Linked DNA regions of Saccharomyces cerevisiae S288C. The gene in region 4 interacts genetically with the main gene of each other region. Each region holds a gene or a part of one and is shown on either strand. Other genes may lie near its edges.

Region 1 (7,693 bases), on a different chromosome or scaffold from region 4:
TATTTTTCATTATCAAATTTAATCATAAAGAATTGGTTTCTCAGAAAAATGAAGAATTGAAATTGCAAATAAATAGAGTAAAGACTGAATTAAGAAGTGCATTAAAATCTACCGAGGATGATCTAGGCTTTAATGTTCAAGGGTTGAAATTCGTCAAGCAACAATGGAATCTAAGGCATAACTACGAATTCGTTGACGAATATGACCAACAGGAGAAAGAGAGTAATAGTGCAAGGAAGAGAGTTTTCGGGACCGTTATATAATAAAACTATTATCCTACATAATACCGGCATTACTCTGCCCTTTTCACACTTCAAAAGGATAGATTAAATTATCTGTATATTATACAATTCCAATCATAAAAATTGTCATTCCGATTGCCCTTCGGTAATAATGGGCATATCCAAATAACGGAATATGTGTTTTTTATACTTATTGGTCGCTGACATATGCTGTTTTTTGCGAGATGTCTCTCGTCTCTGCAGAGCAGTTGTAAAATTATAGGTCATGCATTTTTTTTTTTTTGATAATGAATAACTATCTAATCTAACAAAATATACGTGAGATACTATGCCCATTTCCCTAGAAGAGCCATTAAAGCAGCTCCACAACACATGATGAGATATGCACTAAGCATTTTTTTGAGGCCATCAGGTCCTTTGAATTGATTAGAGTATAAGAATTCATGAGCCATTAATTCGACTAGTCCAGTATAAATAAGAATTCCTGATGATATCGAGTCAAAAACACCATTAGCAATTAATGCTCTTCTAGAGCCAGGTATCCAAGAGTGTCTGACACCAATACCTACCGCGACTGCTATGGGTGACGTTAAAGTGAAGGCTAATCCCATTAACCAAGGCATGTACTTCTTACTTTCTGGCCAATTCGTTTCGGCAACTCTTGTGCCTAGACCCAAACCTTCGAACATTTGGTGGAAAGTTAAAACGATAAATAAGGTTTCGAATTCTTCACCCGCGACAGATAGCGAAAGACCCACAAATACAGAGTGAAAGATGATGCCAAATTCTAGAATAAAAACAGCTAGTATCTGATTGAGATACTGCTCTTTATCTTCCTCCTCGATACGTGTGGCCAACTGGGAGACATCTTGATGGTCATTTTCGTGAGAATAATGATCTTTTCCAGGTACAGAAGCGAGATTTGTCGCATGGGAACTGGTTGGAACTAGTTCATTAGCTAGTGACTCTGTTTTTCCCGGTTCCAGATCATAATTAGTAACATTTGAGCCGGGTTCTTTTTCCTTTATAGGAGTAGCGACAATCTCTTCATTTCTAGTAGTGTACGGAGTTTTGTCATTATGGATGGAGTAGGCAGCTTCGTTATTGAAAGATACAGGATCCGAGTCCATATTTCTGATGACAAATCCCGAACTGGGAGCATCAACATCAATACTGGTAACTTCCCCATGGTCCCCATGATCGTGTCCCAGCGTTTTCGCTACAAAATAATGCGTGATGATTTCAGTGAAGAAAAGTAAGAAAAGCGACATTAAACAGATCCCAAAAGCCCATGGATATTCGGCAAATGTGCCACCAAGACATTCATCTCCCAGAGCTTCGGCTGCGGGCTGTAGAAGATGAACGAACGCTGTGGCAACAATGACACCAGAACCGAAGAACTTCGCTATGAAAAAGCACCAATTTGGTAGCCTTATAAACGAATACCGTGATGACAAAATTGGGAAATAAACTCCCAATCCTGACGATATCAGTATAATGAATACTGCCAGAATTCTAAGACCTGCGTGCCCATTGTAGCCGTTAGAAGCTTGGCAAGTATCTACGGAGTCATCCCTCGCTATAAGATCAACCATACTTTCGAATATGCAGTGTCACTTGGAAACGCCTGCAATGTTTTCTTTGGTTGATGCACCGTTGTATTTTCGGAGATCAACTTTAGCTTTCTTCCGGTCTAACCAACAGGGTGTATGATTCAATAAACAGTATCATCATATATAGTGGGTTTTAGATCGTGTCTCCCAAAAGGTTGCGTCATTTAAAATCGTCACACTGTGTTTTACCAAAGGATGTGTGAAGCTGGTTTGTAGTAGTTAAAGGGCAATGTACCCTAAAGGTTGTGAAAAATTTTCATTTTCGAGAAGGAGTCGCATATAACCTTTAGGGTTATGTCCCTATAAACGATGACTATTGCCTTTTTTGGCCCTTAAGACTACAGTGTACGTAAATCGTAAAGAAATAAATGTATTATATTATTGTTACTATTATTTATTATGTTAATATCATGCATAGATAAATGTTCGTCAGAGAGCATCAGTTTCGTTTGAAAGGGTGCGGTTCGAGTTTTGCTCGTGCGCTGCTGTGGATGGGGGTGGATCCAGTAATCCATGTTTGCGCATATCATCTCGCAGCTGTTCCTCCATTTTCATTAGGACGCTCCCATCTTTATCCCGGGCGATAGTTTCTTTTACGGGACTTGTGTCATGCGGGCTGTCAAGCAGGCTTTTTTTGGGAGATGTAAGTTTCTTGTTGATCGAATGTTCTAATTTCTTACCGCCGGTGCAAATCATCCGACTTCTATGCACCATTAGAGCATCCTCCCTATTAAATCTCTTTCCGCATGGGCAGATGTATTTCTTGGCATTATGGGAGATTTTGTGTCTTATTAAATCATGATTGCGAACAAACGCCTTGGTGCAACCGGGAAAGTCGCATGAATACGGTCTATCTTGCAAATGTGTCTGAATATGCGACCTTATGTTGTATCTACGCTTGAATACTTTGTTACAGTTAGGGTATAAGCACTCGAATAGTTTGTCGGGTAGTTCCTTGACGTACTGGTCAATGGTACCCGGAGGCAGAGTAGTTGGTTTCTTGGTTATTTTCATTGGCGTAGTCCTAGGTATTATTTCATCTGGTAAAGGAGACGTACTATGCAAAGTGGGGCTTTTGTGAATATCATGTGTGACAGGTGGTACTTGCGGATAGCTTTCCACTTCACAGTGACTGTTATTTCGTATGGGTGTCTTAATTTCTAACTGATGATCTGTTAAATCCGGTGCATTTAGAAGCGGAGCTAGGTTACTTCCGTTCTTTGGTGGAGCTTTGACGGGAGTATGTTGAAATACATGTTTTTGTGGCAAAGAATTCTTAATTGGAGTGTTATTGCTGGAACCAGGAATAGGAGGTAGTACACTTGATGACGCTAAAGCGTTTGCATTTCTTAATGTTGGGTTCTGGGTATTTCGCATGTGGATGGGTTCAGTGTCATCCTGCAGTTGTGATATTGTCGAGACCGTGGAAACTACGGATTCCCTTTTCTTGTGGATAGGTGACAACTGTGTTCTAGGCGTGAACGTGCCAGCAGCATATCGATCATCCCTGCTTTTATCTGTGCCGACGAGGAAGGGCGATCTCAAACTATTTCCATTTATCCTTGGAGAGATACTTAGCCCACCCGGGGAAGTCTTTTCGAACAGACGGAATATGTTATCACCAGTACTATTTTTTTTATCATTATTGTTTTTATCACTGGTGTTATTATGGTCATTATAAGTCAAGCCGTCCAAGTTTAAATTATAATTTTGTGGAGAAAATGAAAGCAGTTCAGAATCTCTCAAATAACCACTGTTAGAGGAAAAAAGGTTCAATCCATTACTTTCTGGGCTTTTATTTGGATATCGTTGCCTATGGTATTTCCTGGATGGTGAACCATTTATTGAAGTATTTGACATCCGAGGCGATATTAACGTCGGAGGAGGAAATTGATATCCGCCATTTGCAGAGTTCGTTGTGACGATTATAGCATTATCTTTCATTCTACCGTTTTGCATGGCAGGTGTCTTTAGTATTACTGGAGATCCAGGTTTGGAATTAGAATTTGTAGCCCCAGAAACCAACTTCTGCGCCACCTCTTCTTGCTCTTCTAATACTTTACGCAACTTTTCTTGCTGTATTTGATTGTCTCTCAACTGCTTCTCCAATTTTTCGTTCACTTCCTTTTGTTTTTCAAGAGCAATTCTTAACTCCTCCTGCTGTTTCAACAAAACTTGGCTCAAATAGCTATTTTCACCATCATTTTCCCTTATATGGTCAAAGTCATCATTGTTATTTTTTACCGTATTATGATTACCCAATTCATTTATGAGTTCCATGGGTTGCGGATCTTTAGACATATTTAGAATGGATTGCTGTAAACTGGAAATACTCAATGTCTTATTATGGCCGAGAAATCCAAATATCGCTGTGCCACTTAGACCTCTCTTGTGTGAGGACATTGATTTTTTGCTATAGTGGGAGACTTTGTTGTTTTCATCACCAAGGTTCCAAGTTCTATCAATATTCTTTTTATCAGAAGAACCATCGCCCGTCTTAGGAGAAGGCACTAAAGGAATATCCAGATCTCTTAACTCTTGAGTCAACAGGTCATCGATGTTATAGTAGTCCATACCTAACAAGTTATCGAGGCCATCATCGTTTTCATTATTCAAAATATAATTGTCGGGTGGGGGTATGGTAGGATTGACATTATCATGATGTTGAACATACTCCTCATCTTGAGTGTCTTTCGCGAAGCCTGAGGGATTTATATACCACGGATCTACAACGTTATCCATGATTGTATTAACACCGTTTTTGGTCCTATAGATTTCTTTAGTTATTTCTTGAATTTATGCCTTGTATTTTTTTCTTCTAGCACTTTAACTGTTGCTTGAGTCTCCCTGCAACGTAGCTTTTGTTTGCTAGGTACAATGCCGAGAGAGGTTGTTATAAGTTTATGTGTACTATAAAACCCTTAATGAAAGAAAAGGGACAGAAATATTGCGAGTAAACAAACAGTACTCCCTCCTTAATATTTGCCCGTTAATGGCTAAATGCTTTCTGGAGTTGATTTACTAGCTACAAGCATCCTTATCCTTTACCTGTAAACCAAAAGTGTCCTGAAATTTTCCCAAAGTGCCAATGTTTACATTTTGCCGTTTTGAGATATATATCGTATATTATGACAACCTTCACCTATCTGACGAGCCGCTCTCAGTGCCCCGGTATTTTTGGGCGGCTATTCCTATAACACTATTAGTTAAAAGGGATTCTAATGGAGTGACGGTTTTCATCACAATAGATAGAGTTAACTAAGAACTCTAGTTTGTATGCAAAGTCATTATTGAGTAGTAAAAGCGCCCCCATCGTCTCGTTTAATTGTTGATAACGTTTTAATGTGGCTTTTGAAGGGTTGCTAGCGATGGCAATTGAAACATGTAAATTTTGCCTACTTACAATTAAATCCTGATAGTTTGAAATGCCTGATTTCTGAAGTGCCTCAGCTATTATCGTTTTGAAAGGAGAAATTTGTGCCTTATTGGGACATTCTGAGACAGGGAGACCGAGGTACAAGGTGTTGGCTCGTTCTGATATATATAACTTCGGATATGAGCAGATTTGAAGTTTAAAAGGGGTTATTTCATTATTTCGTAAACCATTACGCATTTCTTGAATGAAAACATGTCTTTGTTCTTCAGTTTCAAACAACAACGATCGAGTTAAGGAAACGTGTAAAGGTTTGGGGGCTCCCAAGTGTGAGATGAACAACGGGTCAAAATCCACCAGTTGATACGGATTAGTGTATTCCTGTTTCATAAATGTTTCTTTATATTTACATATGATTTTCTGAAGTTGTCGGTGAATCGCTGGAGTCGGACGCCACTCAAAATATGTGAACGAACGCCAAAATCGACTCATATTCATATCCTGGTGCTCGTACTTTTGTAAATTCGGAGGGATGTGGTACTTCAATATAATTGAATCCGGTATTGCAGGTAAATCAGTGGAATCGGCTTTCTGTATGCAAGTTTTCTCCGTGTATTCGATTTGGACCTCACTTTTGTTACTACTTTCGCTCTCGGTATCACTACCGTCACTGCTAGAATAGTCTGCAGATATGAATTCCATAGGCCAGTCTTCTTCTAAGCGATTGGTAACCTCCTTCACTTTAGAACACCACCAACAGATCGTTCTCTTGTTCTTTGTTCTTTATGGTATAATATTCACATGGTGCTCTACCGTTTTTCTTGTCGGCCCAGCCGGTTAAATCTCGAAGAGACAGAATAGAAGCTCTGTGGCTGTAAGTAAGGATAAGCCAAATGGAAAAGTTATAGAATTAGGACAACAATATACAGTTTTTTTTTGTACTCTTATAGAATACACACACATAGATACGCACGTAAAATTAGAGCAAAAGATGGTACAAGAATCACGTCCAGGGAGTGTAAGAAGTTACTCGGTCGGTTACCAAGCAAGGTCCAGATCGAGTTCTCAAAGAAGACATTCGTTAACACGCCAACGTTCCTCGCAAAGACTGATTAGAACCATCAGTATCGAGTCTGATGTGTCTAATATTACTGACGATGACGATTTGAGAGCTGTCAATGAGGGAGTAGCGGGTGTGCAACTGGACGTCTCTGAAACCGCAAATAAGGGACCAAGAAGAGCATCAGCAACTGATGTCACAGATAGTTTGGGTTCGACTTCGTCGGAATATATTGAGATTCCCTTTGTTAAGGAAACATTGGATGCAAGTTTACCTTCGGATTATCTGAAGCAGGACATATTAAATCTCATTCAGAGTTTGAAGATATCCAAATGGTATAACAACAAGAAAATCCAACCGGTAGCACAAGATATGAACTTAGTCAAGATCTCTGGTGCGATGACAAACGCAATTTTCAAAGTTGAATACCCTAAGTTACCATCGTTGCTATTGAGAATATACGGACCGAATATTGATAATATCATTGACAGGGAATATGAATTGCAGATTTTGGCTAGGCTTTCATTGAAAAATATAGGTCCTTCCCTTTACGGCTGTTTTGTAAACGGTAGATTTGAGCAGTTTCTGGAGAATTCTAAGACTTTAACAAAAGACGACATTAGAAACTGGAAGAACTCTCAAAGGATTGCAAGGAGAATGAAGGAGTTACATGTAGGTGTTCCTCTCTTGAGTTCAGAAAGGAAGAACGGGTCGGCTTGTTGGCAAAAGATTAACCAGTGGTTGCGCACGATTGAGAAAGTCGACCAATGGGTGGGGGATCCTAAAAACATTGAAAACTCTTTATTATGTGAGAATTGGTCCAAGTTTATGGATATTGTCGATAGATATCACAAGTGGCTTATTTCTCAAGAACAGGGTATAGAGCAAGTCAACAAAAATCTTATATTCTGCCATAATGATGCCCAATACGGCAATTTACTTTTCACTGCTCCTGTGATGAACACACCGAGCCTATACACTGCACCTTCGTCTACATCATTGACTTCCCAATCAAGTTCCTTATTTCCTTCGAGCTCCAATGTCATTGTAGATGATATAATCAACCCGCCAAAGCAGGAGCAAAGCCAAGATTCCAAATTGGTCGTCATTGATTTTGAATATGCAGGTGCCAATCCCGCCGCATATGATTTAGCGAATCATCTTTCCGAGTGGATGTATGATTACAACAATGCTAAGGCCCCACATCAGTGCCACGCTGATAGATATCCCGATAAAGAACAGGTTTTGAATTTCTTATACTCTTATGTTTCGCATCTAAGGGGTGGTGCTAAGGAACCCATAGATGAAGAGGTTCAAAGACTCTATAAGTCAATCATTCAATGGAGACCCACTGTACAACTATTTTGGTCGCTCTGGGCCATCCTACAAAGTGGTAAATTAGAGA
Region 2 (7,578 bases), on a different chromosome or scaffold from region 4:
CATTTAGAAAAGATGCGTGCACAAGACAATTCTATTATTATCCCCTTATAATTAGTATCAATGGTATCGGAACCGTCTGAAAATTCCCGCCTCACAGATAATTTTTGGCAAAGTGCTTTGCATAACGTTGTTTTACCTGTTCCCGGAGGACCATGGACAAGGAGTAATTTATTATTTGTGATTAGCGTTGTAATGTCTTCTTGATTGGAGTCTCCAGTTTGTTTGAATCTTGCTATCTTGAGAGATATAGTTGCGTAGCTATATAACCTTTCTTTAATATTGTTACCAAAATACAACGATTCCCATTGGCCCTCGAAAGTTGTGCCTGGAAGATATGATATATTTACTAAGTTTAGTGTTTGCTTACTTAGTGGAATGTCAAAATTTCCCACCGAATTGATACAATTGTTTAAAGTTTCTCCCTCAAAACCATCATCCTCGTCTAGTTCTAAGTCAATCTTGTCGAACTCTGTGGACAGTATGCTGCCATTTTTCAGCTCATCTTGCTCTTCCAGACAGCAAAAGGGATATATAATGAACTCGTCAACAGATCCCATGTGATAAGTGTCCGACTCGTTGGTCTCCTCTGAATCTAAAATAGAATCTATGTGCTGACCCAAATTTATTTTCTCATGAAAGTTCAATTTAATAGAGACGTGTGATGTGGACTGTTGCTCTATAGAAATTTTTTTAACGAATAAGGATAGAAACAAATTATCTTGTCCTTCATTTACTGTGTTAACTTTGCCATTTATGCTTGAAAACTGGTGTAATAAAACTTTTGCTAGGCTTCTAATCAAATGTTGTTGCGCCTCCGTTGGTGGATCCTTAATTTCAATACTTCCTTGCCCCTCTCTCATTAATTCTTGGCCAGTTATAATCGAAGTCTTTAAACGGTCTTTTGGGAAACTTTCCAACTTCCTCTTGACCACTGCTTTTAACAGATTCAAAAATTCTCCCAGCTTTTTGTTGCTGTTTTGTTTCGAGTCAGAACCAGAATGTAGAGAAGAAATTTGCTCATCCTCTCTAAACATACATTTGATAACCCTCAGAGATGATCCTCGCACTTGTAGGTCAACTATGTAGCTCATATCCTTATTTTATGTCTTCAGTTTGAGATCAGAATATTTTTATGAAAATGTTGTCACTCTCTTTTAACCGCCTCGCATTTCGTAGATTTGCCGCCCACCTTATTGTCAACGGCAAATCTAAGGATATATATACATATATATATATTTTTGAGAAAGATTATATTTTCGCCAACGATGAAAAAGAGAAAAGTACAGTACTATGTATTATGTGTTTTTCAACTCAAGAGAGGGGCAAACATATAACTGGTGCTATATATGATTAAGGCTGCGCTCAAATATACTTCTTACTTAATTGACTGAACAATACGTTGATAAGATGAAGGAAGAGTCTCAGATATTGGTTTCACAAAAAATTCAGAGAATGGAGTCATTTCGGTTACGGGCAATCTTTCGGTGATTGGTACGGAGTATCGCGATCTTTACACGTTCCACTAGTCAATCCAATCCAATTTATTCATTTGTCCGTAAATATTCTGCCGGCCTTCTCCCCATATTACAAAATAAAAAAATAAAACCTGAGTAATGGAATAGTTGGAAAAGCAAGGCAAATTTCCATCAGAAAGCAAGCCTATCCATTCAGCTAAGCTTATGAGATGAGTGTATTAAGATCTACATGCCTTTTCTTCCCTCCAAGATCCTTGTTGATATCATTTAACAAGCGGCGATTATTTTCAACTTCGAGGTTAATTTTGAATAAAGAAAGTGAAACTACAAAGAAGAAAGATAAAAGTAAGCAGCAAGATTTTAATCCTCGGCACCTGGGTGTTGCTGCCGAAATATTTATCCCCTCGGCTTACAAGAACCTTCCAAATGTATTTGCTCATCCTCTCATTGTTGCAAATGCATTGATCAGAAGACTTTACACGTTTGGTTTGAACTCTGTTCAAGTCGCATTGTTTCGTTTTCAATCAGGCATTAAACCTTCTTTTTTACTCTGGAAAAACAAAGCCATAGAGACGTATATCAATGTAAACACGTCATTTGCTCATAAAAATTTGTCGGACATCAAAGGGTTAGTTTCATTATGGGTTCAGGAAGCTCTCGAGGCTAGGTCCCGTCAACTTCCAGGTAATGCAACACTGGACTGGCAGTTGATAAAGTTTAATGCAGTTCCTAAACTAGTCTCAGTGCAACCAATCATGATTCCCGGAATGCCGTTAGAGCATTTACAGTTGGTTTACAAATTTGATACGAAGCAAAGACTAATTAAAGTCAATCAGCAAACTAAGAAGACTGAGACGTTAGACCGTGACGTTGTAGACTATATTGCCTTTTTGTGTGATGCTACAACTAATGATATGATTTTAATGGGATCTTTGTTTGAAAGTAAACCAAATGATAAATTACCGAAAAGCTACGAGGACGATGCTAAAGTTGCCATACACAGAATGAAAGTTAACGGTGATATATATCGTTTACCTCCAAGCTAAGGCAATATGTATATAAATGCGAAAAGTTTTGGAACATCTGTAAATAGCCATTGCTTCATTTGAGTTTCTTATTCCACATACCACTTACATATTCAGTAAAAACTATTCATTTGTTTTTCATTCTGAAGTATATATATTAAATTTATTAAATAGTTTTTCATGAAAAAAGTTATTGAAGCATCTCCCTTTCAATAGTGCATTAACTCTCCCATTCTAACCCATCTTTCCGTTGAATCGTCATAGAACAATGTTTCTGACAGATTGGTTTTCCTATAACGATCTTTGCAGCACAATCTGTGAAATAATTTCCATAAGCCGGTAAGAATAGTCCTGTTATAGCTGATACTACCTTGTACATAATTCATATCACTGAGCTTTGCTTCATCTTTTAGAGGCTGAGACTTCTCAAAACCTTCTGCGCTATCCAAACGATAGGTGCTGATTTCTTTTAATGCCAATGAATTATTAGAACACTTCCTACATTTAAGAACAACCTCTTCCTCGGACCTTCTCTTTCTATTTTCTGTATCAAAAGAACTGTCTTTTTCAATTGCTGCTGTGTTGTGAGGAATAGATCGATAAAGTACTTTTTTTTGCCCTGTTCGAATAACAAAAAGAAATAATGTCAATTCATTTGCACTGTAACAGTAATCAGCGCTAAAACCCTTAGGATGATATCGATGATTTGAAAGTATAATTGTGAAGCCACTATATATATCACGCAGTAGCGTAAACTGTGCTGCTTCGGACTTCAAAAGTTGAATAGCGTATCGTGTGCATTCCCAAATATTATCGACAACGTTTGGATAGAGAATAAAGGATGTGTATACGGTTATTTCATGATGGGGTAGAAAACTGAGTGTAGAAGAAATATTTGCAATACAATTCGATTTAACTTGAAGTTGATAATTAAAATTGCTGAAGAAAACTCCGCTATTACAATTTTCAGAGGTGACTATTAAGTCATTTCTCTTCATTTGTAAAAGTGAGAATAATCGTAATATTTGCTTACAGTAAGGAAGACGTATCGCATTAGGTATCTTATCTTCTGAATTGTAATCATATCCGGAAACTTTTTTGGTTCCTCTTACTGCTGCAAATAGAGACGAATCTGAAATATCTCCCTCTTGTACGTCTTTTTTGGGTAAATCAATATTTCCCTGAATTTCTTGGACTTTAGAACATGAAAGATTTTTCCGTTTGCGATTTTTATTGCGTCTGCTAGCAATCTTCTCTATAAGTGCACATATGTCTTCATTGGGGATTTGGGACCAATTCTGATTTTCTATATCGGTATTTTGATTCTCATTTGTTGGGAAATACTTCGTCTTTTGTAATGGGGCAGATTGCCTTCTAGTTTTATTTTTTTTATCTGCTATGTCTTCTAAAATTTTACAAATTCTGCTCGTACTGAGTTGAGACCAATCGTGCCCTTTCTCAACATGGACGTTTTCCTTCTTGAGACATGGGATAGTTTTCATTGATAGTTCCATTTTGTTTTCACTTGCGCTCGTTTTGGCATGTTGAATGGCATCCGCCAGCATTCTTGCTTTTGGGTAATAAGGACAAATATCCATTATATCCAAATCTTCCTTTTCCTCATAGCCTGTAAAATTATTAGGTTCGGATACTGTGTGCTCTATGTTGTTATTAAATGTTATTATTGGTCTTTTGTGGTTTCTTAATATTGTTCCACTATCGTATTGAAAGTTTGATTTTTCAGAAGCCAAAATAGCATTCAATACATTATTTTGGTACATGTCCCGAATTAGCTAACAAATTTCTTAGTATTTGTGTTACAACAATTAGAGATTTTGTTTTGTTTATTTACTTTCATCAATTCACGTTATTTTGCCGCCGACGGCTTTGAGACCGCACAAAGTTTTTTTTCACCAGAGCAATAAGCTGGGTCATTTAAACTATTCGCAAATCAAGGATTCAAAAGATCTTTTCTTAGATATATTTTCTTCGTGATTCGTCATTAAATAGAACATGAAATAAAAAAAATAAAAAATAAATATGCCTATACATTATGAATATATATTATGCTATAATTATTACTTCTCCTTTTTAACTTCAATTGATTGATCTTCTACGTATGGGCCAAATAGTTCAAGTGAATATCTTGTTGAGGGTTTGCGCCCTTTCCATATCAGTTCAGGGAAGACTTTCCATCTCCAGATGAACTGGTAATTGCAGCTGACGTTGAGCGTAATGACCCTTAAATGTTCCAAAGAAACAATGTAGAAATAAATCCCCATACCAGTTAATATATGCCACCATCCGTGTGGTTCAAGCAGTACACCAAGTGGTAAAGCCAAAATACTTCTTCTAACGTGCACCCAGAACGAACAATAGTGTATATCAAGTAGCCACGAAATGTAGCCAGATAAGAACAAAATTGCGCCGAGCGCCATTGAAGCCTTGAGATTTCTTTTGGCAAGTGGATCATGGACGTATCTGTACGTCAAACTTCCTGCAGTAGCAGCCACAACTACAATCTGTACGCCAAACAAAATTTGATGGATATCGACATTTTTGTAAATAACGTAGAGTATGCTTGCTGTTGTAACGGCCAGGCCGATAATTACGCCGATGAATATCTGTTCAAATAGAGGAACCTTCTTGTGATTATCTCCGTTAAGTAATGCCTCTTTGGCCTCGCATACTAAACTCCATGTCGGAATGCACATGGCGTATATCATTGGAAGTTCATCCAATAGTTGGAATCTATACTTCAGTGTCATATGAAATAGCCATGATCCTACTCCGACCAAACCGTACCCGAAGCCAATAAGTAAAAACCTTTTTTCTAATTTATTCTTGTAAGCAGAGTAAGTTGTGTAAATCGCTGACAGTATGAATACGCTGTTAGTTAAAGTGTTTGACCACTCGGCAATATAGGGAGAAACGACATAGTTCTCCTCACACCAGTCAATAGTGGAAGTTGTTTCTCCCCAAACGCCGGGGACAGAACTCTCTGGATAGTTCCAACGAAATATTCCCATCAATCTTCTATTTTCTTAAATAAAGATTTCTGCTTTTATTTACAAATTAATCTCTGTAAGTATCGGACCTTATAAAAACCCCTTACACAATAACTATATAGATGTATATAGGATATATAGATATATATATGCAAATATCTTTTTCCTATAAGCGATAAAAATAAAATGCTACCCGAATTCTATTTAGACATATATAACCGGAGACAGATATTTTTTATGTCATGGGGTAGAGTAGTGCGTTTGAAAGTATCAAACAAAAAGTTTCAGGGGCCGGATCTAATCGGCATAAATATTTTCCGATGTCTCGCGTTAAAAAACTTGCGTGATAATCCGTCCGCACTAGTGGGATCGAAAGAAGGGGCGTGGTCAGAAGGGTAACGTTATGTGAAACCCTTGCCTTTGAATCTTTCCTGCTATGCTACGTCGGCCGACACTTCCATTTGAAAAAAATATAAACGATGGTGTTGCCAAGTATTTTTTTTCGCCTTCGTTTAACGTCAGCATTACTAAAAAGGTTAATGGTTGGCGATACTAACTAAAAAGAATTTGTAGAAATGCCATGAAGATTTTCACGCTGTATACCATGATTCAGCAATACTTTTTTGATAATGGCGGTGTTTATAGTATAAAGAATTTTTATTCTGCAGTTCCGAAGGAGAAAATGAACATAATTCTTGTTTCACTTGATTGTGAGCTCCAAAAGCTTGCTCTTAAGCTGTCAAAGAAAACTAGTGGCACTCACACTACGCACTAGCTTTTACACCACATCGTTATTGTTTTCCATTAACGCTTACGTAAATTTCATCTATCATTCTACCTGTACCGTTCCCGATGATAGTGGCTTACAAAACGGCTTGAGGTACAGTTGGTTCGAACTTTTTGCATTATTGTTGCCTTCTTTTTTTAGTAACAAGCGGCGTCTTTGTTTCTTCTGCAAAAATAATCTCGCTCGAGTAATTGGAGGCTTGGCAAAACTTAAATCTCCACGCATACCCGGCTTCCTATGTTCGTGAAGGACTCAAAAACATGAACTATCCTTATCCATCTTTCTTTTGCCAAATTATTTTAGCCAATCTATATAACACTACATCATTCCTTTGAGTCTTTCTTTATCATTCATTCGAAGGGAGAAATATACGAGCCAAATTCAAAGACAGACTATTTTTTCGAGCAGGCCTATCTCATCAGAAAAAAATTTAATAAAGCTCTAGATAAGCAAACACAATTATTTTCAAAAAAATTTCTGCTAAATGGGTAGAAGAAAAATTGAAATTGAACCTATCAAAGATGATAGAAATCGTACAGTTACTTTCATAAAGCGAAAAGCAGGACTATTTAAAAAGGCTCATGAATTGTCAGTACTTTGCCAAGTAGACATTGCTGTCATTATTTTAGGATCCAATAATACATTCTACGAATACTCTTCTGTTGATATGAGTAACCTGCTTAATGTTCATCAAAACAACACTGATCTTCCTCATAATATCATAGAACCATCTGATTATGGTGACTATGTGAAAAAACCACGTGTTGTTCTGAATGAAAGGAAGCGCAGGCGAAGAAGAGCAACCGTGTTGCAACCAGCTTCCCATTCTGGGAGTTGTACAGTTTCGAGTCAAGATTCCTCCAGTGTACAAAACAATGGGAATTTAAGCGCTCCGTTGGCGTCAAATGACGCCGGGAACGCTGGTGTAAGTACACCATTGGTGCATTGCCACGGAGCAATATCACGTAGCGGATCCAATCATTCTGACTGTGCAAGAAATAGTGCAGATTATCAAATGTTGCAAGGCGGTTTAAATTCTGGTGGGAGTTTTCATGCTAATGATTATAAAGAAAGCGTAGACCAACAGCATGTTGCAAACGAGGCTATTCATAGGAATTTTATGAACAAGAGGATTAGGCCGGATACTCATTTACTACTTTCTGAATCTAACCACTCTAATTATCATAATTTTTACCCGTCGCCTTACGAGAATTTGCCAAAGCCTTCATTGCCTGCAAGTTTAGTGGGCAATATTCCATCCTTTCAATCGCAATTTGTACAGG
Region 3 (8,494 bases), on a different chromosome or scaffold from region 4:
CTGGAGCAGGTTCTCCTATGGGAACCGGAATCGCCACCCAACAAAGTTGTGATGCTAAGGACGATGACGACGAAGAAGACGACGACACCTCCTCTTCATCCTCTTCTTCCTCTTCATCTTCATCTTCCGCTTCTTCATCTTCTGAATCATCATCCTCGACTTCAAAGGCATCTTCCTCCTCCCCTTCTGCTAGCGAAACGAGCTTGCTAAAATCTGCCGCATCTGCTACTTCGTCCAGCCAATCGTCCTCGAAATCAAAGGGTGCTGCCGGAATTATTGAGATTCCTTTGATATTCCGTGCTTTGGCAGAACTTTATAACTTGGTTTTATGAGTTTTCACCCCCGTTCTTTACCACATTGTTTCTAATTATTCCGTTAGCGCCGCTTACTTTTAATGTTCTTAAGATAAAAAAACATCATTAATATTATTATTAAAAAATTCATATATATACCTATATCTATATGCACTATTTATGCTTCCACTTTTCTTTTCTTTCTAAATACATCATTCCAAGACGTTTTTGTCCATCTTATGTAATGCATCCTTGATGCTTTGCAATTCTACTTTCTGTCCACGAACGTGCAATCCAGATGCAATGTTCTCTAACGCTGATGAGATCGAAGTTGAATCCTCAGGATTTAGTTGTTCTTGGATACTTTTATTTTTTTGCATATGTTGACGGATTTTTTGATATGTGTAACTGATCGGCAGATACCTCTTTGCATCGGAAGCCGCATTCATTTGTGCATTCTTGCAGGAACATATTTCGGGTAGCTTGATTGAATTGTAATTTACGTCAGTTTGTTGTTCATTTAGATCCGGTGACAACGCACTGTTGGAAGAGAAAGAGCTTGAACTACATTTATTCGAAAGTGATTGACAAAAATTCCTACTATGGGGGTCTGATCTACATTGCTTGCAGCTTCCAGGTATCCATGACCCATCCTCTTTAGTGATCGGTCTATTCTCGCTATCGTAGATTTCTTTGTCTCCACAGCATTTCGATATTGATTTCTTAGCATCGGATTCTATTTTCTTTTCTGAACAGCAAACGGGGACTAAGGATGGCATTATGTTATTCTTTTGGTTGCAACATGTTACTGGTTTCATGGCATCTTTATTCCTACAACATTTTATTTTTTTGTTGCCACTGCCTGCACATGCATTGATACTGCTGCTGCATGAAGACAGAGGTGAATTAATATGGCCATCAAGCGATGAATTCGTTGAACTAAACTGTCTGCCGCTCAGATATTGATAATCGTTGGCTATATCAATCTCAGACAAAGACTGGTCTGTTAATACCGCGGGCACATGAGATGTTAACAATGGGCCTTCAGCTTTCCTTTTTTTAAACTGACAGCGCCGATTGGTTTAAAGTTTTCTACCATTTCTAATATCGAAATAGGATTGTCTGGCGGGTTTTCTGGCTGCTGTTGAAATGGAGTATTAACAATCAAAGGCAAGGCTTTTTGCAATTCGTTGTTTAATGCTATTGATTTTTGCAAGTTTTCCTTTGTATCGGAAAACTCAGATTCCAGCAGTTTATATTTCCTTTGCCAATCATCGACCAAATTGTGTAGCATCTCAACCTTCTCTTCCAGAACCTGGATTCTTGTTGTTCTGCGTTCCCTATATGCTCTTTGCGCATCTCTATTTTGCCTCCTTCGCTTTTCCACGCTATCGACACCGTTTTCATCACCACTTCCGTTGCCTTCATCATCAGATTTCCCCTCATGACCTTTTGCGCCTTCGTTCTCATGATCTTTTGTGGTCATTTGGTCTTTCTGGTTGGAAGTTTGAACCTTCTTTATCTTGGACGATCCATCATTATTAGCTGATGCATCCCCGCGCTTGGATTTCGGTTTGCGGCCCGGTTTTAGGCGCTGTGGTAACTCCCAATTCTTGGATAACTTAATAGCTGACGGTCCTGATGTACTCACATTTCCATCTGGTGAGGATGGAGGTGGAGACGTCGTAGACATGGAACCCTGTTTATGCCCCAATTTGAAGCCTTTGGGCTTTACGCTAACTGCTACTACAGACCTTCGTTGTCTCATGATCCATTGAAAGTGTGCGTAAATGACAAAATTTTGTGCCTTTCTATATTCTTTAATTGATGATTTACTTCCTTGATAACGGCTCAACAAACGAAGAGCAATTTTCAAATTTCAAAAGAAAAAACCGTTGAAACTGTTCTTGAGCAACTTTCAAGCCTCTTATGATGATGTGCTACAGATTGAAGTACAGGTGAAAAGAGGAATAACCAATAGCCTTGTTTGCTTTCTACGGTGGGGCAGCGGATTTTCTCTTTTATGCTTATGCTTCTTCTTCCATATATTACTAATTTTTCTCGAGCGAGCAGCTTTACTGCGTGCATTACCGATGAAAAAAATCGCCGATATATGAAAATCCAGCTCATAAGATGCTGATTAAGGAGTCATGAGTGAAAGGACCCTCGTGGCCATCACAAAAAAGACACTTTGCTCCTGTATAAAAAAAAAAATAAGGCGGTAGTTTAGATAGGGTGTCTATTATATACATGCATAATAATTTAGTTTTGAAGGGTCGCTGGTTTTGCCGTGACGTACGCTTCTCTTTGATCTTTTGCCATTGTTGTCAGAGAAAAGAGAACCGATTGACTTTTTTTTTTTAGTTTTTTTTAGTTTTTTTCTTAGGCTTTGATCTAATATCAATCTTTCTTAATGACAAAAGTCTTCGCAGCTTGATCGGCCGGAATGGGAGGTACAGATTTTGCTTCTTCCTCTTCATCTAGGTTGATATCATCTGGCACATGCTCTCTCGAAGCTCTTTGCTTAGCTTCCTCTTCCTCCTTCTTTATTAGTTCTTCTTGCTCCTTCAAAACGTTCAATTTGAACTCGTTATCGTCGGATGTCTTCTTTTCTTCAGCTTCCGTGGCTTCCGCAGAGTCGGTAGGCTCTGCGTTCTCTTTTTCCTGAGATATTTCCTCTGTCTTCGCTGTTTCTGCCTTTTCATTAACTACGACTAGTTTAGGAGTAACCGCAGAAGCGGTGGTAGCTATAACAGACTCTTTTGCGGTGGCTTCTTCCTTCGGTATAGCAGTTTCCTCGGGTTTTTCTTCCGTCTTTATCTTCTTTTCAGCAACTTGCTTTTCAGCTTCAGTTTCAGCAGCGGATGATTTCGATTCAGATACATCTAGTTTTGCGACGTTGTAAACGGGATCTGGAATGGAACTTAGCACTTGTAATATACCGTCGTAGTACAGATCCAAAAGGTCGTCATATTTGCTTTTTGTTTCTTTTTTTTCAGCTAGTGGCGAGAATGCCTTTGAATAGTTCTCCTTTGGAAGTCCTCCAAACGTGAACGTGGAACTCAAAACCATCAAGACGGATGGGATTTTTTGTCTCAGTCTCAATTCTAGCCAAACTTTTAGATTATCGACCAAGTCCTCCTTGGATACACCGTACGCTTTCATACCACGAGACACACAAGCTTGATACAGCTCTTCTTGCGATAAACTTTCAACGCCTTCGTAGTCAATAGTTTTATCGTCGTTCATTATATCCTTTAGTTTGGAACGAATTTGGTAACGAAGCATGTTATCGTTACCAAATGGCCTTAGTGACATAAACTTCGACATTGCTGCCAATTGTGGTCTTGACAAGTTATCCAAAACGCTATCGTTTTTGAACATTTGCGCAATGGCGCTTATTTCATCGTGTTGGAAAGTCATAATCTTACCTTCCTTGGCAGAATAAAGCTTCCGGAAAAAATTCAAAAATTTTTGCTTCTTCTCTGCATTTTCAATGGTGTTGTAAGTGATCAAATTGGATTCTTCCAAAGTCTCATGCAAGAATTCGGATGTCTTTTTTCTGATCTCGATGAGCTTATTTCTCTTGGCTTGCTTATCCTTGCCGGATTCGTAAGTGGAGGGTAGTAAGTTGGGGAAGAGTTTCAAAGCGAAAGGCAAAAATAGTTCGGCGAATGGAATAATAAGGAACGCTGAAAAAGGGATCAACCTAAACACATCGCCCATTGTCCTCCTCAATTGGTTCCTCTCTCTTCTAGACAACTCGTAACCCTGAGCAAATTTAATCAAAAGCTTAGTAGAAACTTTGATTTCGTAACCCAAAAGTTTCGTCCCATTAGCATAATGTTTCAAGGCGTGCTTCACTTTGACCATAAGCGTCTCCTTGGGCTTGGCAGGAGCATCGGTGGATGTTGGAGCTACGGGCTTCGTAACACTTTTCGACTTATCAGTAGAATAAAATCTCAAAGATAAAGGATAGTTGGGCTGTACTCCTTGCGCTCTCAAAGGCCAATGACACGAGGGAATAGTGGAAGCTATTAATCTAGGGCCTTGATTTTTAACAAAATACAAGCTTGCTTGACGTCTTGTCACACATGACGCTCTTGATGCGAAATTCAACATCTTAGTATATTATCTGTAGTGATAGAGATAGCGTATATTATGCGCTGCCTGAAATGCACTGCGCTGTTCATATTCATCACCGTGGCAATGACTGATCCATTTATTTGGAGATGATTCAACGAATAATTTTTCACCGCGGGATTATCGCCCAAGACGGGGTCGTTTGAGGGTAATACCGTGGCTAGCTTTATGGCTTGTGAAACTATTGCCAGTTATGTGGTTACGTATAATCTACCGTATGTGTGTGTGTATTTATTTATGTAGGTTGCTAATGCTTTGGTGATCGTTTAAAGGAACTTGGACGCAACCCTCCCACGGGTGCCAGGGCTTGAAATCTCTTTCAATGCTGCTATTTTGCGCGACTCTGGGTACACCTTATACCCCTTGTTTCTATGGTTAAACCAATTGAATCTCCAGCAGAGCTCGTGAGCAAATAGCTCGCCGAAGCCGAGCATCATGCCGTTGAGGAAGGGCAAAAGTAGGTTGATGGAGCACGAGCCTACAAAGGATACAAGGCTCTGCACAAGTGGGCTCTCGTCGGCACTCACTGTGTTCTGCACCTCCATACAGTCTTTGTCTTCTGATTCGTCATCTGACACGCTCTCCCAGAATCCCACAACCTCTGTCATATTTCTGTCTTGTGGCAGTTTCGTAAGAAGGGGGGTGATGTTTCTAATATTACAGTGATGTTCTATTGTTCAAGTAAAGTGTATGGCTGTTTCTTATGGCGCGGAATATACCACTTCGTTATAAGTGATTACATCTCGTAACGCATTCCTCTTGTTCAGTGGTAGGGGAGGCCGATGGTAGTGGAATAATACGCTTTTATGGGCCATTGGTATTACTATTTATCTTCGTTATAATAAATAGTACACGTTGCAGACATATTTGGAGGAGAGTTTTTAAAGTACTGTTGGGGTGCTCTTGCTGTGCATTGTAAGTAATCGTGTCCCAGTGGCCGAGTGGTTAAGGCGATGCCCTGCTATTTCCTCAGAAAAGCAATTAGGCATTGGGTTTTACCTGCGCAGGTTCGAATCCTGTCTGTGACGCATTTCTTTTTTGTGAATTCTTGCTTCTTATCCTTCTACAATCCTTTCGTGACATTTATTGAATCATCTCTACAAAATTTTTACACATAGCTAAGGTTAGCTTGTTCTACATTACACAAGTGGTAGCAAAATCGTTTACATTGCACTCAGCTATATCAACATCACGTTCTACCGCAACTAGTAATGAGCTTGCACATTAGTAAACTGATTGAGCAATATCGTTCCACTAAGGACAATGACCTTAAATATATGCTTTTAAGGCAAAACTTTAAAATTAACGACATAGAGGATGAGCTGGCTCCTCTTGTTAACGAATTGCTGCTCCCGGTATTGGTCGAAGAACAAGACATGGAAATTCTCAACCTAGTATCGTTTCAAGTGCTCCCCGATTTAGTTCTTTCTATGATCAGCGACCCTGCAGCTGCTCAGTTGGGATGGGTAATAAGCTTGATATGCGACCCTTTATTAAACCAAAGCATGATACATGCAAATCGTTCTTTTGTTCTGATTGAGACACTAAGAAATGTGTTACAAAAAATTGAAAACTCCCCTCATTTAGATTACCACCAACCAGTAAACAGTTCATTAGAGTTTATCTCCAAATTTATTGTTGAAATGAAAAGGCATATGTGTGATGTGGATGCTGCGCAGCTTTCACATTCACTTTCTGAAAGCAATATGCTAATTTACATAGAATCCCTTAATCTATTGCTAAAATTTAGCTTCTTTTCAGACGCGGCAAGTCCTTCAGTAATGGTCACACTGCCCTTTGATATTTTGAATGACGTTTTTACAATTGCGCAGGACTATTCTGCTACGAATACAAATGAAAGCATTGATAGGATCACAGAAAAATTACTTTTGACTTCTACGCAATTAACTCATCCGGTGGACCTGGAAAATTTATGCCCCAAAATGAAGTACAATACTTTAGCAGCAGTTTCTCGAATATGGTACAAATTTGGCCCCATAGTCGATAAATTATTTACTAACCGGCTATTACCGGTTCTATTCCCCCCGCAAATGGGAGAAGAATGTAACGTCGAAGATGTTCTCGAAATAGTTCATAACTTCCATCCATATTTTTCTATTCGTAGGCTAAAGGATAATAGGCCTCTATTGTCAGATTCGACTATTAGCCAGCTAAGAGAGGGTTTGTTTGGTATGCTCAGCATATTAAACGACTCGCTGACAAGGACGCAAAATGAAAACGACCATGGTAGCGACAATCTGATCGACAGTGACGACGGATTTGGCTCAGACAACGATCCTGAACAACAAGCGTACCTCGATGAACTCGTATCAGAAGGTTATGACGAAAACATGTATGACGGTGATACGGATGACGAAGACGCAGATGATATAAACGTTGAAAAAAATGATGAAGCCACCAAAGACATTACAGAAACGAACAAAATCCTTTTAATCTTTTCTGAGTTACATTATCCTCAGGAGGAGCGCTTCTCTGAACTGTTGGTTGAGTTGCAGACTAAGATCGCTATAAACACATCCTTAATTGATAAAATTCTTTCAAAAGAGACAACAGAATTACCCACTCACAATGGGGAAATCGCAGATTTGAACGAAATTCTAAATGAAGTGAAAGGCAATAAACCAATTAGAAAAAACGTTATTTTTTGTACGTTAGCGCATACTTTGTCGTTGCAATCCGGTTCCGAATTGTCTGTTCTACAGCTATCAATAGAGGTTATTGATCATCTGCTGGTTAAAAATCATTCAAATAACATCACTCGTGGCGAGCAATTTCAATTGATTAAGTTGATATTACCCCATCTAAAAACAAATAAATCTTTTATTGATACATTAAAAGCAGGAAATTTTACCCAAAAAATTGATGAAGGAGTGACCTTAAGAACAATGATTCTTTCTCTACTACTACAACTATTCCCACTGGATTACTCTATGCTAGGTGAGATTTTACCCACTATTGCGCGATATTCTGTAAGGGATAAGGATCTTGGGGTGAGAGATCTGTCCTTCCAATTGCTGGACCAAATTCTACGCACATACTATAATTACCTAATTGGTATCGATTGGGAATGGTATAAAGATGACTTCTATCAAGTTTTGCAAGAAACTTGTATTAAAAAAGACATAAATACCAACCTCTTGCTACAATTTCCTCCTTATCTCCCTCATGACTAGATAGTTTTATACCAAATACATCATGCATCTTTTTTTTTTCCTTATAGTTTGTGTCATCAACATGTTTTTGCCCGTATTAATACACAATAATCTATCCTCTCAGGCAGGGAGAAGAAAACTAAATATACATAGCACCCTCACACAGGATGTCAAAACTATCGTCTTATCCTCATGCCGCCGATTTTATAAATATGGAAGAACCGCCAAAATCTAAAGAGTTTTTCGATGATCTTTGTGCCGTCCCTAATTTACTCAAAAGACGTTTTCCAAACTCTCGAAGATCGACGCATTATTGTGAGGCTTTAAATTATTCTAGGAAAAAGCTTCCTGTTGTGTTGTCTAAAATGACACTGCAAGAGTTGAGGCACAATATGTCAACATTTTTTTTGCAGGAAAAGGATCAAATAAATATTTATGACACCTGTAAGGTGATAGACATGGGGGACCGTGTCTTGCTCGAAACTATGCCTCCACAGCCAAGAGATTTATTTGAAAAATTGCATGCAAGTAAAACAAATTTAGTAGTTCAGACAGCAGCTTTGGATGAACCCCTACTTACAGTAAAAGCAGAGCTACAGTCATCTTCCTTTCCACAAAAATCAAGCCTATTTCTGTATGAGGATTATAAAAAATTTATTTATCAACAACTAGATATGTTTAGTTAATTACTTACGAAAAGAGAGGCTATTGTTTATTGTTGGCCATTTTATTTATTATTATTTTTTTCCACCTTAGCATAAGGAAACACGATTTGGATTTCAAAAGTAGAGCTTTAATAACAAAAGATAAACAACCACAGTGTCAAGAACGGTTACAACGAGAAGGATAGGCTGATGATTTATCAAACATCTTCTTATTGGTTCC
Region 4 (8,227 bases):
GGTCATTCTACCAGAGGGCTTTCCGATGATAACATAGGACTACTAGATTATGCATTCGTTAAACTAACTATGGACAATGATATTTTCACAGAAACATTCTTCAACACTTATAAAAGCTTTACTACTACAACTACGGTATTAGAAAATATGGCAAAACGGTATGTTGGTGCAAAGAGTTGCAGCGTGTCAATTTCCAAGATTTTAGATCGCAGTGATGATTCTAAAATGAAGATAAATGAGGATACAAATTTAGTGTCCTCTTCATTATACGACCAAAATTTTCCTGTTTGGGATATGAAAGTAACTGACGATGAAAACATAAACCTTATTTATATGGCAAAAATCCAAATCGGCGCCGCGGAAGCTATACTACATTTAGTGAAAAATCATTACTCTGACTTTACTGACGATTTATGTAACAACTCTACTCTATTGGATATTATAAAAATAATGGAACAAGAAGTATCCACTGAATGGCCTACGCGAATTGCAAACTCAAAGTTACAAAAAAGCCTACCAGAAAATTTTGTGATTGAAACAGAAAATTTGTTGACTACGTTAACTGATCTATTTCATGGTATTAAATCAGCATACCAAAAGCAACTATACAGACCTATTGGTGTCAATAGAACTCAGAAGAGAATAACTGACATTTTGAATTCCTTTAACACATTCTCTTTTACAGATCTTAACAACATCATTGATGATCCTTCCTTTAGCGATGACATGATTAGATCTTTTCAAAAGTTACACTCAACCAATTACGAAGATATACTAGAATGGATCTACCAGTTAGATAACTTTATTTCTAAGAAGTTCAATTTAGTTTCTAAGAAAGATTGGATAGTTCTTTTCCAGGAGTTGGAATTGCTTTCAAAGGAATCTCTGGTCTCTTTTTTCAATTATCCGCTACATTTTAAGTCAAGCAAATTGATAAACCCCGGATATTTGCAATTGCACGAGTTTGAAATTTCCAATCTTTTTACTTGGATTTCTACATTGATTCTTAAGGATGATAATGGTACGGAGAGTCTTTTTTTTGAAAAACTACCACAATCTATAAAATTGTTAATAAAGTTACACACGAGTCTAACTACGTTTTTCGTGATGGAAATTTCAAACGTCAACAAAAGCAGTAGTGAAAGGTTAACTACTTGTAAAGTTATATTACAAATTTTGAACTACATCCGCTGGAAAAACGGAAGTTTGGATTTATTTGATTCAGAGGAGGATGAAAGTCCTCATGCTATTTGTCCACACATTCCAGCTTTTATTGAAACTGCTATTGCGCATGCCATAATATCACCAGAGTCTAGAAACTATGAACTTTCGTGGATCAAAGCTTCTGAAAAACTTTCGGACCCTACTAAAGGAACCCAAAATCTAAGATCGATTAGTAACGTTTTAGAGAAGATAGATGACATACATATAAAGAGATTCATTGAGATTGATGATGTATTCAGCAAAAACTGCAAGAATTTATGCCCCTGCCCTGGTTGGTTCATTTCAAGGTTACTAGAAATATCTCAGTTTGTCCCTAACATGAGTATCACTAATTCGAAACTTATTAATTTTGACAAAAGGAGATTTGTTAACAACATAATATCTAATGTCTTGGATTTAATTCCGAACGAAAGGGAGTTTCCACTTGATATTGAAATGAGTGACGAAAATCCTTCGAAAAGAACTACATTTGGCCGCATTCTGTTCAATAATTTTGAAGATGTTAATAAAGTATACAGAAAGAAGACTAAAAAAGTATCAGAATCAGAAGCCATATCGGAGAGATTTCAAGAGCAGGGAGTATTTAATGAAATACTAGTCAATGAAATTGAAAAAATAAAGAGGGAAGCCAGAAAATTAGAGGTTTTACTCGATCAAGAAAAGATCTTGAAGAACTCTGCTGCTTTACATCAGGCCGTTCCGAAAAAGAATAGGAAGTCTGTTATTATCTCAGGTACTCATAGTGACAACGATCATAGCTATAATATCAATAAGAACACCGGTCAAACGCCTTCTCTAGGTAGTGTTATGGAAAGCAATAATTCAGCAAGGAATAGAAGAGATTCAAGGGCCTCCTTTTCCACAAATAGATCATCAGTAGTGTCAAATTCCAGCCATAATGGTGTTAGTAAAAAAATAGGTGGATTTTTCAGAAGACCATTTTCAATCGGTGGATTCAACACATCCAGTTCTAATTATTCACTCAACAGTATATTATCGCAAGAAGTTTCAAGTAACAAATCCATTCTACCAAGTATACTTCCAGAGGTTGATTCCATGCAACTACACGACTTAAAACCTAGTTATAGTTTGAAGACCTTTGAAATCAAGTCAATAATGGAAATAATCAATCACAGAAACATTCCGGCTTACTACTATGCGTTCAAGATAGTTATGCAAAATGGCCATGAATATCTGATTCAAACGGCTAGTTCTAGTGACCTCACAGAATGGATAAAAATGATCAAGGCTTCCAAGAGATTTTCATTCCATTCGAAAAAATATAAAGGTAAAACTCATAATAAGATATTTGGGGTACCATTAGAAGACGTTTGTGAAAGAGAGAATACCTTGATACCTACAATTGTTGTGAAATTGCTGGAAGAGATTGAGCTGCGTGGGCTAGATGAAGTGGGATTGTACAGAATTCCTGGTTCCATCGGCAGTATAAATGCACTAAAGAACGCATTTGACGAAGAAGGTGCAACAGATAATTCCTTTACATTAGAGGACGATAGATGGTTTGAAGTGAATGCGATCGCAGGCTGTTTTAAGATGTATTTAAGAGAGTTACCAGATTCTTTATTTTCTCATGCTATGGTGAACGACTTTACCGATTTGGCGATTAAGTATAAAGCACATGCAATGGTAAATGAAGAATACAAGAGAATGATGAATGAGTTACTCCAAAAGTTACCTACATGCTATTACCAAACTTTGAAAAGAATTGTATTTCATTTGAATAAAGTACATCAGCATGTTGTAAATAATAAAATGGACGCATCAAACTTGGCTATTGTATTTTCCATGAGTTTTATAAACCAAGAAGACTTAGCCAACAGCATGGGGTCCAGATTAGGTGCAGTTCAGACAATCCTGCAAGATTTTATTAAGAATCCAAATGATTATTTCAAGCAATAAACAATTTTCGTGGTAAATGTATACAATCCACTGCTGAGAGAGAAAAAATTTGGTCCCGCCTATCGAGGGTTTGAGTTTTATATTTTTATATTTACAGAGAGATATAGAGCCTTTATTCATTTTTTGTTATTAATGAAGTTTGATTTGTGAACAATTTTGATTTTGGAATTCTGCCTCTTCTCCTTGAAGCTTTCTTGTAACTTCTTCTCATTATCTTGCATCAATTGCCTTCTTTCCGCCTGATCTCTTGCCTTTTGAATGTTATGTTTTAATGATTGGAAGATGCCCATGTTCTCTGTGGGGGAAGCGCCAGCGATAGGAGTCCTTGGTTTAGCTACTTCTGTTATCTTCAGTTTCGAACGAACCCATTTGTTTCTCAAAATCATTGTCTGTAGGACGGAGAAGGCACCATTAAAGGCAAAGTAGAGGACCACAGCGGACGATAAGTTCATTGTGGCCGGTATAGAAATGATCGGTAGAATAGTGAAAAGACGCTTCATGGGAGAACTGAATTGTTGAGCACCAGTCTCACCCCCCAGCCTTGTAAATGAGATGAACACAGCGGCAGTGATTACTTGCAAACCTAAGTAAGGGTCTGCTTGAGTCAAGTCTGTAAACCAAGCGACACCTTGATTAGCGAACCCATCTACTGGGTAGTTAGCCATGTGTCTCAATGCGTTGAAAAACCCAAGGGCGATTGGAATTTGTAGCATGGGTGCGGCCAGCCATCTGTTCTTAATGCCGTGCGAGGAGAGCAGTTTTTTCCTTTGCATGGCGACTAGCTGACCTTGTTGCAAATCTGTAGTGGACATTAGCTTATTATTCAAGGCGTCCAGCTCGGGCTTGATATGGGAATTTCTAGCAACAGTATCAGAGGACTTGACATAGAGGGGAAACATCAGGCATCGAATGAGGATGGTGGTGGCCGCGATAGTTCCCCACCAAGGCAACCCAGAGTAAACATGAACGGCCTCCAAGACGTGTTGGATAATGTCCGAGGGCCAGTACCAGGTTTGGGCCAGGCCAATGCTATTTAAGTACCCTATATGGGAGGACAACTCGCCCACTGTTTGGGTCGTGTTAGCGATAAGGTCCGAAGTAGAAGCGGAAAGAGAAGGAGCTGAAGAGGTTAATTCATCGATGGAAGGCAACTGGGTTTGGATTTCCGAGACATCGTTGGCATTTGGGCCCGTCGAATTAAATCTTTTGGCCTGAAAAGAGATCCATGACGGATGGGGCCGGGGCAATACTATGGTTCGAGCGGTGGCCAGTCTGGAAGAGGCAGCAAACCTTGACGTGACGAGTCGAGAGGTGAGTTTGAACATCGTCGGGGAGGTTATTCTGTGGCTCCGCTTGTACGTGAACAGATACGTATAGAGGGCGAGCCACTGGTTAAATTTTTCATGGCTCGGATTACTTCCGTACTGCTGGCTAAAATCGAAATCTCGGCCTGCTGAGAGTGTTTTGAGCAATCAAGGGAACATCTGAACGTGGAAGAGCAGACGAGGCATTAGCTCGAACATAAGAACGGAACACGTCATGTTGACTATCACGAAAAGACTGGTGACCACCGATGTGCGGTCGCGAATACTGTTAAGCAGTTTAAACGGGAAAATGTCCGATGCACTGGCGCTGCTGCGTCAGCAGCAGCAGACCAGCGTGGATGTGGAGCTGCTGCACACGATGCTAGCGCGAGCCGCTGCGCTTGCCCATGCCGACACTATAGCATACATGTGGTATCAGCATGTGATGCCACGCCGGTTGCCAGTAGAGGGCCGCCTGCTATGTGAAATGGCTGGCGTAGCATTGTACCAGGACAGGCTCTTCTTACCCGCGCAGTTCCTCCAGCACTACCAGGCGATGAATCGCGATCGTCGCACCAGCCCAGAAGATGAACTGATTGAGTATGAGCTTAGACGGATTAAAGTCGAAGCGTTTGCGCGTGGCACAATGCACTCCACGGCGCTCAGGGAAAAGTGGAAGGTATTCTTGCAGGAGATGGATACGCTACCAGGGCAGCCGCCATTAAGGCTGCGCGACTTCCCGCAAATGACCAAGGCTATGGGCATAGCATTGATGCAGCAAGATGAGCAAGCAGCTGCCCTGGCGTTGTTTGGACGACAGCCCCTAGTGATAAAGAACGAATGGTCACTACCGCTACTACTGGCTGGTGTCCTTTGGCATGTTCCCGGCCCAGCGCAGGCGCGACGTGTGCTGGCGGAGTTCCGTCAAAGTTATCGCGGGCTGCCGCTGCTGGATGCCGAACTAGTGATAAAGAGAAGAGGATTTGAAATCAACACATAAATCTGGGTGGAGCATCGCTGTAACAAGGAACAACGCGTGCTAGCAAGCGGTAATGAAATACAAGGAAATCAATTTCTTCAAGGGCCATCCGAGCTCGAGGTTGCTGCCTCGAGAAGCAGTAATTCAAGCGACTGCGGCTATATTGGGGCCCGAGACCAGGGAGTACGATAACGACCCCTATAACAGGCATCCGCTGACGTACGGTTCGGACGAAGGTGCCCTGTGGGTGCGAGAGCAGATTTGTACGTTTCTGAATGATCAGCTGTTTAAGTTCGAAAATGGGGCTCGGAGCAGGACACGGGCAGACTATTTGAATCTGAATAGCGGCGCTTCGTATGGCATGCTGAACATCCTTCTGCAAACAACCTTGCCACATAACGGGTATACCAGGCAGGCGTTCATCATCACGCCAACATATTTCTTGATCAACAATTGCTTCACAGATGCGGGATTCAAGGGGAAAATGACCGCCATCAACGAGCAGGGCCACGACTCGATTGATTTCGAGTCGTTGATTTCTGCCCTTGAGCAGCACGAGGCGGAGCCGCAGCCCCATAGTACCACAGAGATGATTCAGGGGCCAAAGTTGACCAAGAAGGTCTACAGGTACGTTATGTACTGCATCCCGACGTTTGCAAACCCATCGGGAAACACATACTCGCTTGAGACCAGACGCAGACTTATCGACATCGCTCGGAAGTACGACATGCTGATAATCACTGATGACGTGTACGATATTCTAGATTACACGACGCCCTCAGATGAGCTGCCCTCTCCGCCCCTAAGGATGGTGCACATAGACAGAAGTACAGCGCCCTCCGGTGAGGACTCGTTCGGGAATACAGTGTCCAACGCAACTTTCTCCAAGCTGATCGCCCCTGGGCTCAGATTTGGATACCATGAGTCAATCAACGCGAATCTCGCCAGACAGCTATCTAAAGGTGGTGCAAACGTCTCTGGCGGAACTCCCTCACAACTGAACTCCATGATCGTGGGTGAGATGCTGCGTAGTGGTGCCGCCCAGAGATGCATTGCACATCTGAGATCCGTATACTCCGAGAGGGCCACTGTCTTGACCTCGGCGCTTAAGAAATACATGCCCCTAGGAACCGAGATTATGCCATTGAAGGGCGGCTATTTTACTTGGATCACTCTCCCACCAGCGTACAATGCCATGGAGATATCCACTATTCTTGCCAAGAAATTTAATGTCATCCTTGCCGACGGCTCCAATTTCGAGGTCATCGGCGATGAGAAAAACTGGGGTCAGTCATGCTTTAGGCTTTCTATTAGTTTCTTAGAAGTTGATGATATCGACAGGGGCATTGAGCTGTTTGGTGCTGTTTGCAAATCTCATGCGATCACCAATAACATAACTATGTAGAAGGAATACGTATATAGGTGAACGGTAATAAGAGGGTAATTTTTCTACGGGCAAAGGCAAGGAAGAAAAAGAAAAAGAAGGAAAAAAATATAATGTGATAAAACAAACAAGCAGCGAAAAAGCGAAAGGGAAGAGAAGTGTTTCTAGAGAAGAAAGTCATTTTAATAGTAAGTCAGACTCGTCTGCTACCATCATCCAGGTACCGCTTTCCTTTCCATCATCATTAAAAAAAATGAACATGCAAGACGCTAACAAAGAAGAGTCGTACTCGATGTACCCGAAAACCTCTTCTCCACCACCACCTACGCCAACCAATATGCAGATTCCTATTTATCAAGCGCCTTTGCAGATGTACGGCTACACTCAGGCCCCATATCTATACCCCACACAAATACCTGCCTATTCGTTTAATATGGTCAACCAAAACCAGCCAATCTACCATCAAAGTGGCAGCCCACATCACTTGCCTCCGCAAAACAATATTAACGGCGGAAGCACTACCAATAACAACAACATTAACAAGAAGAAGTGGCACTCTAATGGCATTACCAATAACAATGGAAGCAGCGGTAATCAAGGCGCCAACTCTAGCGGTAGCGGCATGAGCTACAACAAATCCCACACCTACCATCACAATTACTCTAACAATCATATCCCCATGATGGCCTCTCCAAACAGTGGCAGCAATGCGGGCATGAAAAAACAGACCAACTCTTCCAACGGCAACGGTTCTTCGGCTACTTCACCATCGTACTCTTCCTACAACTCTTCTTCACAGTATGATTTATACAAGTTTGATGTCACTAAATTAAAGAATCTCAAGGAAAATTCATCAAACTTGATTCAATTGCCACTGTTCATAAACACTACGGAAGCAGAATTTGCTGCGGCAAGTGTCCAAAGGTACGAATTAAACATGAAGGCTTTGAACCTAAACTCTGAAAGCTTAGAGAACTCATCTGTAGAAAAGAGCTCTGCCCATCATCACACAAAAAGCCATAGTATACCAAAGCATAATGAGGAAGTAAAGACAGAAACACATGGGGAAGAAGAAGATGCTCATGATAAAAAACCACATGCGAGCAAAGATGCGCACGAGCTTAAAAAGAAAACTGAAGTAAAGAAAGAGGATGCTAAGCAAGACCGTAACGAAAAAGTTATACAGGAACCTCAAGCTACTGTTTTACCTGTAGTGGATAAGAAGGAACCAGAGGAATCTGTTGAAGAAAATACTTCCAAGACATCTTCACCTTCACCATCTCCTCCAGCAGCAAAATCCTGGTCCGCCATAGCATCAGATGCGATTAAAAGTAGACAAGCTAGTAACAAAACAGTCTCCGGATCGATGGTCACTAAAACACCAATTTCTGGTACGACCGCAGGCGTTTCATCAAC

Evidence for each region.
Region 1: of OXA1 (region 4) and USB1, extra expression of one rescues a mutant of the other (dosage rescue), as found in Saccharomyces cerevisiae (one study listed by BioGRID).
Region 2: mutations in OXA1 (region 4) and MBA1 impair growth when combined (synthetic growth defect), as found in Saccharomyces cerevisiae (4 studies listed by BioGRID).
Region 3: mutations in OXA1 (region 4) and MDM38 impair growth when combined (synthetic growth defect), as found in Saccharomyces cerevisiae (one study listed by BioGRID).

The regions. Positions count from the first base shown.
Region 1 is NC_001144.5:402,226-409,918, forward strand, and holds USB1 (phosphoric diester hydrolase), read right to left. Parts: upstream 5,931-7,693; coding exon 5,058-5,930; downstream 1-5,057. Other genes in the region: snoRNA-binding rRNA-processing protein DIP2, read left to right, coding at 1-263; low-affinity Zn(2+) transporter ZRT2, read right to left, coding at 569-1,837; DNA-binding transcription factor ACE2, read right to left, coding at 2,285-4,597; bifunctional choline kinase/ethanolamine kinase CKI1, read left to right, coding at 6,220-7,693.
Region 2 is NC_001134.8:594,066-601,643, reverse strand, and holds MBA1 (Mba1p), read left to right. Parts: upstream 1-1,684; coding exon 1,685-2,521; downstream 2,522-7,578. Other genes in the region: PCH2 (Pch2p), read right to left, coding at 1-1,091; YBR184W (uncharacterized protein), read right to left, coding at 2,710-4,281; YPC1 (phytoceramidase), read right to left, coding at 4,579-5,529; YBR182C-A (uncharacterized protein), read left to right, coding at 6,089-6,283; SMP1 (Smp1p), read left to right, coding at 6,780-7,578. UniProt on the Saccharomyces cerevisiae protein: Mitochondrial inner membrane-associated mitoribosome receptor that spatially aligns the mitoribosome exit tunnel with the membrane insertion machinery and allows cotranslational protein membrane insertion.
Region 3 is NC_001147.6:269,310-277,803, forward strand, and holds MDM38 (ribosome-binding protein MDM38), read right to left. Parts: upstream 4,416-8,494; coding exon 2,694-4,415; downstream 1-2,693. Other genes in the region: GAS5 (1,3-beta-glucanosyltransferase), read left to right, coding at 1-332; YOL029C (uncharacterized protein), read right to left, coding at 506-1,111; YAP7 (Yap7p), read right to left, coding at 1,324-2,061; MIM1 (Mim1p), read right to left, coding at 4,703-5,044; LAG2 (Lag2p), read left to right, coding at 5,648-7,630; YOL024W (uncharacterized protein), read left to right, coding at 7,777-8,295.
Region 4 is NC_001137.3:471,262-479,488, reverse strand, and holds OXA1 (membrane insertase OXA1), read right to left. Parts: upstream 4,470-8,227; coding exon 3,261-4,469; downstream 1-3,260. Other genes in the region: GTPase-activating protein BEM2, read left to right, coding at 1-3,144; PET122 (Pet122p), read left to right, coding at 4,684-5,448; YER152C (2-aminoadipate transaminase), read left to right, coding at 5,501-6,832; mRNA-binding ubiquitin-specific protease UBP3, read left to right, coding at 7,065-8,227. UniProt on the Saccharomyces cerevisiae protein: Mitochondrial inner membrane insertase that mediates the insertion of both mitochondrion-encoded precursors and nuclear-encoded proteins from the matrix into the inner membrane. Links mitoribosomes with the inner membrane.